Linked DNA regions of Arabidopsis thaliana. The protein of the gene in region 2 interacts with the protein of the main gene of each other region in a pairwise test. Each region holds a gene or a part of one and is shown on either strand. Other genes may lie near its edges.

Evidence for each region. The genes of interacting proteins can lie anywhere in the genome.
Region 1: the proteins of GBF6 (region 2) and BZIP9 interact in binary tests that used the Arabidopsis thaliana proteins (3 or more experiments, as listed by UniProt).

What each region holds. Positions count from the first base shown.
Region 1 is NC_003076.8:8,512,613-8,519,254, reverse strand, and holds BZIP9 (basic leucine zipper 9), read right to left. Parts: upstream 4,056-6,642; 5' UTR 3,997-4,055; coding exon 3,883-3,996; intron 3,778-3,882; coding exon 3,687-3,777; intron 3,590-3,686; coding exon 3,418-3,589; intron 3,326-3,417; coding exon 3,250-3,325; intron 3,172-3,249; coding exon 3,046-3,171; intron 2,969-3,045; coding exon 2,714-2,968; 3' UTR 2,586-2,713; downstream 1-2,585. Other genes in the region: AT5G24810 (ABC1 family protein), read left to right, coding at 1-32, 136-211, 292-421, 507-664, 833-905, 984-1,175, 1,295-1,388, 1,473-2,353; AT5G24790 (transmembrane protein, putative (Protein of unknown function, DUF599)), read right to left, coding at 6,191-6,642. UniProt on the Arabidopsis thaliana protein: Transcription factor.
Region 2 is NC_003075.7:16,518,490-16,525,435, reverse strand, and holds GBF6 (G-box binding factor 6), read right to left. Parts: upstream 3,576-6,946; 5' UTR 2,988-3,575; coding exon 2,508-2,987; 3' UTR 2,206-2,507; downstream 1-2,205. Other genes in the region: COW1 (Sec14p-like phosphatidylinositol transfer family protein), read right to left, coding at 6,909-6,923. UniProt on the Arabidopsis thaliana protein: Transcription factor that binds to the DNA sequence 5'-ACTCAT-3' in target gene promoters. Promotes POX1/PRODH1 expression in response to hypoosmolarity stress.

The DNA of each region.
Region 1 (6,642 bases), on a different chromosome or scaffold from region 2:
TATTTTTGCGAGGGTCATTAATTTACTCAGAGGTATAATTTATGAATCATACTACTTTACCTCATTATGTCAAAGGATTTGCTCAATCATAGTACTTTACTTTTTCTTTACTTATTTATTTTGTCGACTATTTAGGACTTTCATCTACTATGAATGTTCGGATTGTTTATCTGGACATCATGAGACCATTTGCCGAATCTGTTCTGTTAGGGTAAGCACCCTTGGAATTTGGCAGCTCATTTTATTATCTCTTTGTGATATATCCCGTACGACCATAATGTGGGTTTTCAGGAGTATTAGTCGAGGACCAACTGTGGATGCTCATTGGATACATGACTCGCCAATCCATTCTGATGTAGAGTCCAAAGTGAGGAAGCTGCTCGCTGAACTTGGGAGTATCCAGAAAATACTTGGAATTCAGGTGGGCAACACTTTTTTTATTGTTTGGCTTGCAGTCAGCTTTCGTTTCATTTTACATTTGGTTTAACATGGCCATGTTCGTTTAGGTGTGTGCATATAAAGATGGGAAAGTCATAATTGACACTGCTGCTGGAGTGCTTGGAAGATATGACCCTCGTCCAGTTCAACCCGATAGTTTATTTCCTGTTTTCTCTGTGACAAAGGGTGTCACTGCTGGAATGATACATTGGCTTGTTGACAAAAGGTGAGTAACAACATTTTAAGCTTTCAAAAAATTTCATGTATTCATTTCACACACCCTGATATTTTGAATCGGCTCCAATCTTACATATTGGTCTCATTGTTAATTCCATGATCCCATTTGCAGAACACATGCTTAGTCATATTTAGTAATATTTATTCAATGATACAGGAAACTCCAGCTCGACCAGACTGTGGCAAATATGTGGCCAGGGTTCGGATCAAATGGAAAAGATACCATAAAGGTATAAGGAGCTACACTGTCACTTAACCATTTCGCAATCTATTGCCCTTCATTTTAATACCTCGGTTTTGTATTTCAGGTCCATCATGTGCTTAACCATACATCTGGGATGCAAAATTCCTTTGACCCTGTAGGAGAAAATCCTCTGCTTATTTGTGACTGGGATGAATGTTTGAAACGGATTGCTAATTCATCACCTGAAACAGAGCCTGGCAGTCAGCAGTCCTATCACTATCTCACGTTTGGATGGCTATGTGGTGGAATCCTCGAGGTAAACTAATTATATCATTCATTGTTTAAGCATAAAAACTATGCAAGTCGTCAAGTTGTAATTTTTTCTCTTACCTCTACTACGTTAATGCCAATCTTGCTTTCATCAATCTTGAACAGTATGCTTCTGGAAAGAAACTCCAGGAGATCCTTGAAGAGTCCATTGTTAAACCCCTAAATATTGATGGAGAACTGTACATTGGAATCCCCCCAGGTAAATAGTAACAGTCACAGACATTGTGAATTAGTAAATTACGCTATGAGCGTTATTAATAATTATCTAACATCTTAATTATAGGTGTTGAATCTAGGCTTGCCACATTGACGTTCGACACTGATGAAATGAGCAAGCTTTCGTCCATTGCCAGCCAACCTGAGCTTCCTTCCACATTTCAGCCTGACAAGATCATACAAATGGCAACCAACTTGCCAGTCTTATTTAACACATTGAATGTGCGCAGAGCCATAATCCCTGCGGCTAATGGACATTGCTCTGCTCGTGCACTTGCAAGGTACTATGCAACCCTAGCAGATGGTGGCCTAGTGCCACCTCCACATTCCTCTTTATCCCAGCCACCACTAGGTAGCCACACCCATGTTCCGAAATTCACGTCGTTGAAAGACACAACAAAAAAGAAAAAGGGTAAGGAGATGGCAGCTACAGAAAAGGGTAAATCAAAAGATCATCAAGAGAGGAAGCTTTATGATGAGAAACAGTTTATGAGTGCTAGTAGCAGCAGAGAGTCAAATACAGAAAGTTTAGCCAGGCTAGTTGATACTAACAGTTCTGCTGGCAAAACTGAGATCAATAGCGATGATCATCAACATGATATTCATAATATGTTTAGCAACCCGAGGATCCATGATGCTTTCATGGGTGCTGGAGACTACAGTGGCTTAGTAGTGCCTGATGGAAAGTTTGGGCTTGGTTTTAAGCGCGCCATTTCTCAAGATGGGTCTCTGGTTGGCTTTGGACATTCAGGGTTAGGAGGATCAACAGGCTTCTGTGACATCAACAACAGATTTTCCATTGCAGTAACACTGAACAAGATGTCTATGGGAGGTGTAACGGCTAATATTGTGAAGCTTGTTTGCTCGGAATTAAATATCCCATTGCCTAAGGACTTCGCAACTGATATAGGTGCAGATTCGCAGATGGGTACGCCTCTAATCAACTGAGGTTGGTTTTCGACGTAAGTTTTGTCTGCTCATGTTACAACATGCATAGCTGTCGCCTTAAATAGCTAATAGAAATTGCTGGAAAGTAAAGTGTAATGGATCAGTGTTTTTGTTTGTTTGTCTGTATACTTACTTAAGCGAACACATTTAAGCAATTTCCTTGGAGAATGTAATTTATTGGCCTATACATGCTTCAGTTTCCAGATTACAATCTGCAGGATTTGGAGCAATTAAGTATATGTTGACGAAACTTGAGTTTATTTAACGAACATGCTGCTTTCATTATATGTTTCTAGTTCTATAGCGAAACACATACAGGAAATTCGCTGAGTGATCATTACATGTTCTGAAGAAAGAGAGTCATGGCCAGATGTCTGAGACGCAGCTAACAGCTTCACTGGATACATTACCAAGTCCAGGGCTTGAGTTCTGTCCAGAAAGTGTCATTCCAGGGAACAAAGATTGGTCACTGTGGACTGTAATGGCGGGCGAGGTATTTCCCGTGTAGTGCAGACTGCTGATGGAGTGTGATGGTGGACTTAGATGAGTTTGTAGAAGTTGATTCAAGCTGCTAGTGAGTGACCCTCTCGCTACCAAATCTTCTGCTAGTTTCACCTATATAGAATTTACTTAACTTAGCACATTCCGGTTATTACTTTCCCAAATTGAAAAGAGCAAGTGATAGATGATACCTTGACTCTCAGAGTTTCAACATCTGATTTGAGAACTCTGTTATTTGTTCCAGCGCTACGAAACTGTTGTGTTGCGTCTATGAGCTGCTTGTACAGTGTTGAGTTATCGCCTTTCAAAGAATCAACCTTGAAGAAAACACAAGGTCACCATTAAAACATTACTCTCTGATACAAATCATCCAACAAGCTATTTGTTAACCTTACCTGAGTCTCAAGATCTACCAAGTACTCTTGCTTCCTTCTCCTCGACCTCTTTGCTGATTCCCTGTTTGAGTTCATCCTGAATTCACATCACAGAAAAAGATTAAGAAGAATTGGTGATTCTCTATCTCAGTGTTTTACATCTAACTTTTTTATTGGTACCTAACATACCTTCTAATACGTTTCAGATCATTGGGATCATTAGTCATTTCAGATTGCCCTGCTTCTGTCTCGGCATCTTCGTCATCAGAGTTAACATGAGAAGATCCACTTGTGGTTCTCCTAACTCCTCCTCTTACCTCAGGTTTATTGGCTGACACTGGACTATCAGCTGACAGATTCTCTTTGTAGATAAGAGCCACACAAGTAGTGAACATTAATATCAACTGCAACAACACTTATTACTTACATGGAGTCAAATCAAAGAGACATGCACATACCGCAGATTGAGGACTGTGCATCGCGAAAAGGTCCAGCCGGAAACAATCCCTCAGACCACAAAAGACTATCTCTTAACTCACAAGTGTAATCCTACAACCAAAAGAAACTAGACTCTTAATTACTACAATATCTCTGGATCTTGATATAGACACAAGCAACAATGATACGAATAAGAGAGACAACAAAAGGACTAACCCGGTTCATGAGGTCGAAACAAGGGTCTAGAGGGCTTGTAGTGAGATACTCTTGTAGAGCCAGCTCAGAAGCACTTCTCTTCATACCAATGTCTTTAGCTGTGTGATTATCCATTTTCTTTGAATGTGAACACACAAGAAAGAAGAGAATTGGTTGGAAAAGAGAGGAGAGGGGAAGAGTAAGTGGTGATAGACATCTTCTTTATATAAGTCTCTCTTCTTTACTAAAGTTGTGAAAAAGCTTCTTAATGGCTAAGCAAAATTGAATTTGCATTGTCAATGCAACGTCCTCATTTCCAACTTTTTTTTTCTTTAATGACAACAATAACAAAAGAGAATAGAAAAGCAAAGCCACAGAGATGTATATTAGGCTCTGTAGTATTGGTGAATATTATGGTACCAATTATATGCTAATGATAACCTTTAATCCCTTAACTAGGGAGACTATCTAAGATAGCTGGAGACTCTTTCAATATAAATCATATCTGAATTCAAACATTAAGTTGTTTGTCAGCTCATTAATATGTTGGAGCTTTTGATTTGAAAATGAATGTTATAGGCATATATATAAGCAGCTTATATTCATAAAAGGATCCTAAAATATTTCGAAATAAGCTTTTAAATATTTGAAAATATTTAGATAATAATATTGTCACTCATGTACATTTGTATTCTTGGCACATGTCAAGAACCTTACACTTACATAAATTACTCTACTACATAACCTGTTTGAATTCGAATTTGAAGTACTTAACGACTAATTTAAGATTAATATACAAGGGGCATAGTCCAATGATGAAACTACAAAAACATTGAAAATGAATAAATTAACCTTTTACGGTAAATGTTTTACCGAATATATAATTTCATAAAACACTAAAAACTAATCTTCATAAATAATTGATAATATTTGAAGGAAAAATATTGATAATATTGTTTCAGTTTTTTACACCTTTGTATCATGTAGTAAAAATCTTTAAAATATTTATTATCATTCATTACTACTACAACACCAAAAAGAAAAACTTAAGAATTTTCCGGTCACACGAACAACACAAAATGCTTCGTCCTTTGTTTACTCTTACTTTTCGCCATATGCTTTTGGAAAGCAGATCTAAAAGACATTTCTTTCCTCCAGCACCAGAAATACTTTTTATTTCATCAACTTTTGTATGCGTAAACCAACTTTTCTTTCTTTTGATCTGCACTTCCTTTAAAAAGTTAAAATATTTCACAACAAAACAATAAAAAGAAACAAACTAGGTAATGTGTCTTTAAACAAACAAAAGTTGTTTAGATCCGAAAATAGAATCCAAAAGCATTTTAAAATTATTATTTCTCACTAACTAGAACTTTCGAACCTATAGTGGACTACAATGTTTACAATCTACCGACTACAGTACAATTCAGTAACCATAGTAACTAGTACAATTAAAATTCAATCCTTAGTGATGTTGAAAATTTTCATGTAATTTAGATGATGATTGATATACGTTTTTTGTAAGAAACGAATTTCTACTTGAGGCACATGCTAAATTTGTAAGTTAAAATACAGAAAATATGAATGAAAATTAGTTTATGAACACAAAAGTAATTTTTGTTTTCTTTTAGCAAAAAAAGAAGAAGTAATTTTTCTGTTTCTACAAACTCTACTTGTAATCTCCAAACGAGGTTTTGCAAAGAAAAAGAAAAGAAGATGAAAGGAATTATAAACAAAGGAAAAGAGAAACAAAAAAAAGACGTTGTTCTATGTCTAGTGATCACTAGAGTAGTTGGGGTGATTTAGTTTTCAGAAATTACTTTTCAAATCATATAACTGTGTTAGTATATTTTTTGGTCATGGGTAGATAAAAGTATTATAGAACAAACAAAAATTCTCATTTAAAATTCATGACAAAAACAAGAATTCTCGTGACCAAATGAATTTTATCAAAGTTTATGTGACCAAATAAAAAACACTAGAATCTTTAGTTTCAGTTTTGAGGGACCAATTGAATCTTTATTTGTTTTTTTTTTTTAAAAATTATTTTTGATACTATAATATTTAGTGTAGTAATTATATTTAGAATCTTTCTGGTTACAGATTTAAAATATTATTCCAGTAAAAGATCATGTATGACGTGAACGAGATTGAAGCTAGAGGTTAAAGATCACAAATAATAAAAGTTCATAAAAGCAAGGCCATAAGTCATAACAAGAGAAAATCTCCAAGTGCATTTATTAACAATCCGGAGGTTATGATATCATCGTCATGTACTATCAATAAGCATCATCCTTTAACCAAAAAAGTCATCTTGCGTCCTAGATTCCTAGTCTTCACCACCATTCGTAAAATCAGAGGAACGACGTATATCCACTATACGTAGTTTTTCTTTATTGTTGTTGCGTGACACGAAATCGAGGTGAGAAAGAACAAGAACCATCACCAAAACGCTAAAGAACACGAGGATGGGACCAAAGATCCATAACATTAGAGAAAAGCCTGCGTAGAACAACCTGTTACCTACCGTGTTAAGAAAGATACCCTTTTCGAACATCTCGCTGACGTGCTCAGACGTGAGGAAGACGCAACCAGAAGGATTAGGGTCTAAGTTAGGGATGTTTACGAGAATGGCGACTTGGTTTAGGAAACGGATGGAGAGGGAGTGGAAGAAAAAGGAGAAGATGAAAATTGTGAGAATTGTTAGGTATTTGATGGATATGGCGAAATCTCCATGAGCACCAAAAACGGCGTCGTTTAGAGGCTTCTTGATGCTGTAAG
Region 2 (6,946 bases):
CGTTTCGCCCTGTGAGCATCACTAAAAACGTTTTTAATCATATAGATATGTTTTTTGGGATTTTTTTCTCCTTTTGAGTTTTGTCTAATCGTTTGACTAAAGCTCTTCCTTTGACTAAAGCTCTTCTCAAGCATATATCTTTCAATCTGAGGGAATCTTCAAGAATATCTGCAGACAATTCGTGTAAAATCAGTTGGTGTATGTTTTAATGTAGATCAAAAGTTAATGCCTGTCTTTGTTCGTGGGATTAGAGTATAGTACATCGAGTTTAATTAGGCATAAACCAACCCACAATCTATATATGTAACCAAATGTCTCTATGGATTGACTCACGACCGTCCTGTGGCTCCTATATTTTTCTCCAAGACTCCTCCAACCTTCTTGATTGTCTGTTTTTCAGGCTGATAGGTTGTTATATTACGTCATGCAAAAGATCTTTAAGTTGTTTGTGAAAGTCCATTATAATTAATAAACTTATATATATATATATATATATATTCTCTTATATAACGAAAAGAACCTTATATTAGATTCTTTAGATGCATATATATTGTATACATAATTAACCGACTGATTATCAATTATGTTTGTTCAGGTAGATCTAGGATAATTAACAAACGTTATAAAATCATTTAATTAGGCGATCCACTATTAAAGTCTTTGAATTATCATGTGTTTTTAGGTCAAGTACCGGCAAATATTGTTCCCTGCACATGACAAATTTGCCATAATTGATTATCACTTCCAAATTATTATGTTTTTGAATTTTTTAACAACGGCTATTATAAAAGGTGCATTTGCTATATAAGCTTATGGAAGAAGATATCATTTAAAACAAAATTTATGATCGGAAAATCGTAAAATGAATAAGGTGTTTTTTTGCATGATAACAAGTGTATCATCGGATAAATAATGTATTACATAATTCATGTTATTGGTTAAAATTATCCACGATTATTATCCCACTAATTTCAGATTTTCTAGCATAGTGTTTTTTTTCTTTTCTTTTTTTTTTGTAATAAATCTTTACCATGCATATGGTGATTTAGTGCGTATACTCTAGCTAGTATAAAATGATATTCTGGTTTTTATCAACTATCTCCTTTAGTACTTCACATTCTGTTAGTTTTTTTTTTAATAATTAACCCCTTCACTTAACTTACGTTTTGGGTCTTTATTATCTTCGAAACTACAAACAGTAAGCAATGAATTACATATCTTTTCAATGTTCCTAAGAGCCTAGCTAGATCAAAACACATAAGATGCCTTTTTATAATCTCTCGAGTCTGTCGACACATGTACGATATTCTCAAGAAGGAATACTAAACTTGAAATAAAGGTAAAAAATATATACCGCAATTATCAAATAGAAGACTTCTTCATATAAAATAAAAAGAGGCTTTCTATTTATAATATTTATGAAATGAACCATCCGTGATCAATGGATATAAAACAAACTATCCAGCAACAAAAAGTATAGTTCTGCCAAAAGGGTAGAATAGGATTCCCATTATTACTCACGATGTAGTATAACCATTATTTTGTGATGTACTTGTATATGGATCTATTGGTGATAAATGGAACTGTGAAATTTAAAATCCCAAAAAGAAATTTGAGATAAGAAAATCAATTAAAAGATGATGTGTAAAAGCAAAGAATACAAGAGGCTATGATTTCACCTATAAGTCTAGCACACAAAAAAAATCTCCAAAATTCACAAGAAATAAGTTTAAAATATTTTACAAGAATCTGCACAGTTTCATTTCTTATTCTGAGAGATCTTCAGACATAAAAGGATTTTATGTAAGATGTTATATGTTGTTTATCTTTTTCCAGATCAAAAAGAAAATAAGGTTTCTTCTTATTACAACATTAACCTACCAACCCTCAATTCATCTAGATTCTTAAAAGTTTTGAATTTCGTAAGTCTTCTTCTTAAGAATAGATCCAAATCTATAAACTGAATCTAATATCATCCACACTCGTTCATGACTAAAAACACCTTAATCAACATTAACACCTTTTTAAAATTTTACTTTGGCGAGTTGAAGATTACCCAAAATTACAAGCTATTTTATCATTGATATTTCATCTGCCTACTATAATGTTTGATTGGCGTGAAACATGATTCTGTAGAGCGTACGTTACATGCGAAACTCTTACTACGATACATTTTATTACTTTACTATTAATGCTCAAGAAATTATATAAAAATGGGATTAGTACTTAAGAATAAAAAGAAAGTAATAAGCATATTACAATATTAAGAAAACACTTTGTACTCATGCGGCAACAGAGCCTTTATTACAGACACACTCATAACGATGATGCTTAGAGATACCTAACGCCTAAAACGGACCCAAACAAACAAAAATTTGAAATGGAAACAAATCAAACAACAGACCCATTTTTATATATAAATCTCTCTCTTTGGACATGTCTCTAAATCGGACAAATAAAAACGGCCCCATTTCTTTGTGATTTCGAGGGGGTTTTTAGGTCCACATTTAATACATTAAAGCATCAGAAGACGCCATGAGAGGCTGGTTCATAATATAAGACATGTTCATCTGATTCACGAAGAAATCATCACACTCCAAACCAACCAGAGGGTTCGAACACATGCCCATGTTGTTGTTGTTGTTGTTGTTGCTACTGTCGAGGAACTCGATGATGTCGTTGAGAGATTGGAGCCTGTGGTTAAGTTCATCAAGCTGAGCTCTGAGAACAGAGTTCTCTGCTTCAACGGTTAGGTAGTGTTGCGTTGTGATGCTGACACTTGTCACGATCTCCGTGTTCTCTTTTTTCAGATGATTAACCTGAGCCGTTAGATCGTCTAGGAGCTTTTGTTTCTTCATTCTTGATCTCCTTGCAGATTCACGGTTTGAGAGCATCCGTTTACGTTTCCTCTGCTCCATGAGACTCTCCTCCGATCCTGACGACGTTTGAATCGTCGACGAAGTTGTTCCCGACGACGACGATTCCATTTAGTAACACACAAACAAAAACAGGGAAGAGTTTTTTTTAAGAGAAGAGAGATAAAATATTTTAAAATGGGTTTTTAGGGGAATTAAAAACAGAACAGAACAAGACACAACAGAACAGGACAGGACCCAGATGACGAAAAACGAAGAAGAGAAATTTGAAAAGAAACTAGGGTTTTGTTGTAATTATGCGTATAGATATAAAACTGGAGATAAGTTCAGAGATCATGAGACATAGTAAAGCCAGTAAAGGAAGACAACAGAGAAAGATTGAACAAGATGGGTCCTGCGCCTGATTGTGGAATTTAACATAAACCCAGAGAGAAAGATCTCACTGAGTATTATTGGAGACATGTGTCTCAAACACCAAGAACTGCTGATTAAGCATCAATGTTTTTTTCTATTTCTTTTTTTTTGGTAGCTAGCCTACTCTTACAGAAGCTGAGATCTCTAAGAAATGAATCTTTGAAGAAATCAGAAGAAGAAGAAGGAATTAAAGGCGATATCTTCGAGAGAGAGAGAAAAGGGAGAGAAGGAGAGAAGAGGGGGCTTTGAAATGGTTGAGGAGAAAGATTTTATAGAAGAAAAATCATCAAAAAGCGTTTTGAGTGTTTGTGCAACTTGATGGTAAGCGATACATTTGTTTGGATTCTATTAGGGGAAGAAGATTCTTTTCTTTATTTTTACATTTTTTTCCTAACTTTTTTTTGGTAACATTTTTTCCCTAACCTTTAAAAAGTTTTCTAGAGTGTCTACATTAATCAAAGCAATATTTTAAACAATTAATTTTTCTTAATGAAATATTTCAAAATTAATTCAAAGATAAGTAAGAGAAAGTGTTTTTTCTTCTTTTGAATGGTATTGATCAAAAATTATATGTATTTAGTTGGTAAATTATTTACTCATCATTATGTCAAGATAAAAAAAATATTTATATTGTTTAATGAAAAGCCTAATCATATACTGTATTAAATTTAGATACTATGAATCTTGCATTTATCATAATTAAAAATAGAAAAATTCATCAAATAATTTTAAATAGAAAATTTAGATTTAAATTTATGCTTAAAATAACTCTTGAGATTATACATTCATCAAGTCTTGTTTTTTCCATAAATTTTGTTGCAGTTATACCTAAACATCCATTTAGATTTTTTTTTGCATTTAATAACAAGTAATTGAAAATATAGCTTTATTGAAGTTCTTAGAAACCTAATACCAAATAAATTTCCCTTTCAAATTTTATAAACTGTCGTGGTAGATAAAGATATTTCAAAGACAGAAAATTAAAGCTCACACAAAAACAGACCAGCTTAAAAATTGACCTGCCTAAATTTTTTTTTTTTTTCTTTTGGTTTTGTTTAGTACTGTGATTTCTTAGGAGGAAAGAAATTGAAAAAAAAAACAAAGTACAGTTTCTTTTACAAAGATTGCAGATAAAACTATTCTTTGTTTTAGAGGAAAACAAAACTTTTTCTTTGTTTTCTTCTTTTTATTATCACAAAAAGTAAAAAGTTAAGCTCAGAGGAAAAAAGAAGCGAGAACTTTATTAAATCTTCTTCAGTAAAACAGTAAGACCATCTCCATCGGTGAGAAACCCATTTTTATAAAATAATATAAATTTTATTATTATTTTATTATTTATTTTTTTAATTATTATTTGAACCAATCAAAACAAAACAAAAGCAAAAATGAGTTTCTCAAGTGAGAAACGTTTTTACTTTCTCTCCACATTTTTTGAATTTTTTGTTCTGTTTTAATAGACCAGAATCCAGAAACTCGCGATGGAAATGCTCTAAGTCTATATTTGTCGGGAGAAAAAAAACACACAGCAAATCTATTTTCACGTAACGACAAAAGAGAAAGAAAAATTAATGATATATTTGTAATGCGAATTATTATTAAAAAAAAAAGCAAAAAGAAAAACATGAAAGCCAGAATTTGTCTGCAGAAATCTATGAAACTAATTAAAAATCAATTACCACCAACACTAAATAAAATAGTTAATTTGTGAATAATCAAATGAAAAAAAACCTGAAATAAAAATAAAAAGAGATTAAGAAATACAAAAGAATCTGTGCTTAGAGTAAAATGAGAAGAACATGTGTAAGTAGGCCGAAGAAGAAGAAAAGGTGAGAGGGACATGTGAGGTTGGGATACGAACTCTCCAGACTCAATACAGCTGTTTTCATTTCCTAATCTTATTCTCCAATTTGTGAAAGATTTATACGTATTAATCTGGGTTAATTATTCAGATGCTGATAATATGTAAGGATTATAATAATTAGTTAAGTACTTGTAGAGTAGTAATTTAATACTACATTCTTAATGTATTCCACCGTCTTACCACAGATGGTGTTTTAGTTATAAAAATTGTTTTACAAAATTTAAATTACGATTAAATAATTTAACTTTTTTCGTTTTTTATTTATTTTCAGTTTCTCTTTATTAGTTTGGGAAAGTGTGGAAGAGATCCACTGATCCAGCCCACTTCCCAAAAACGATGCATGAATTTCACCAAACATATTCACTCAACATACTTTTTAGTCTATTTATAAATAAATCAAAACAGTTAAAAAGAAATATAACAAAATTAGTAAAAAAGAAATTACATGAATGGTACGACACACTTGATAGTTGATATCTAATCATGCCAACCTCCAAAATTCCGGGGATACTCTCACAAAATTGGGTTAAATTTTTAAAAGGTCAAAATTTTCTTCGGATCTTGAAATCTCATTATACAAAACTAACCGACATAGACCAACCGCTCATCGTCGTTAATCTTAATTTGCATAATCATTTTTTTCTTAATTAAATTGCATTATCATTGATAATGATGTAACGCCAATGTCGACAAACGTCTCTCCGCAATCCTCAAAAAGAATCTGAGAAAGTACATGTGTGTCCATTTATTACACGTTCACGGTTCATTCGATTACAATTTTGCTTGATGTTTCAATTGGATATTTTAATCCCAAAGTACAATTATTATTTCTTACAGTGGCTACAGACCTCAGTAGAACATCTTTTGACCTTCGAAGGAAACAAATGGTCTCAAGACTTCATGTGATTCTCTGTGAATATTTTTGTTTTAACTGTGTATATATATTCTTTAAAGAAACCCTTTGTGTATTTCGCTATATCTAACAATCAAAATCTTCAATAATTCACGTATATAAAAAGCTTGTCGAGAGATTGATTTGGTTGATATATCTACACGTACGTGTTTCCTTTTTTCTCCTTTTAATGTTGTTATTACTAGAAACCAAATTCGTTTGGCAACAAGTCTAGCTTTTAGATATCTAATTTCTTATACAAATTGACGGACATGGTGCTTTCTTTTGTTACAAATAAATAAGAAAAAAGTTTTATATATTGTTGCAGGAAAAATATGATCCGTAAATATCATGGAAGGTACATACAATCTTTGTGTGGGGACTACCAAAAGAAAGACAACGAAAGAGAGAGGACTAAAGGAAGTAATAAACGCAAATGCAAAAAAAGGAAAACAAAATTCAATTTGTGTTCTATCTTTCTCAATCACATGACCAAACAACAAACCCTACTTATTTATGTTTGGGTAAGCTCCATATTATTTCACTTTACAAAACTATAATTTCTGGGACTAATATGTTACTTACGGTACGGTGATATAATAAAACTTAACTTCAATACCAATCGTAGAATATAGTTTAATCACGTGGATAAAATCACAGAAAATTCATAGAGAAATTAGAAAATGCACACACAAACAATATGTCACAGCCAAAAAGATAAATATAGTTTTCACTTCAGATAAATGTACAAGTCTGTTGCTTTTAAGCTGAATCTATTCCTCATTTGAAAAACAAAATCACAAACAAACTCTCTCTGGTTGATTCAGCCTCTTGCTTTATGATCTCATATTCTTTCCTCACTTAGTTAGAATCCGAAAAACTGAAAAATATGTAACACTGTTA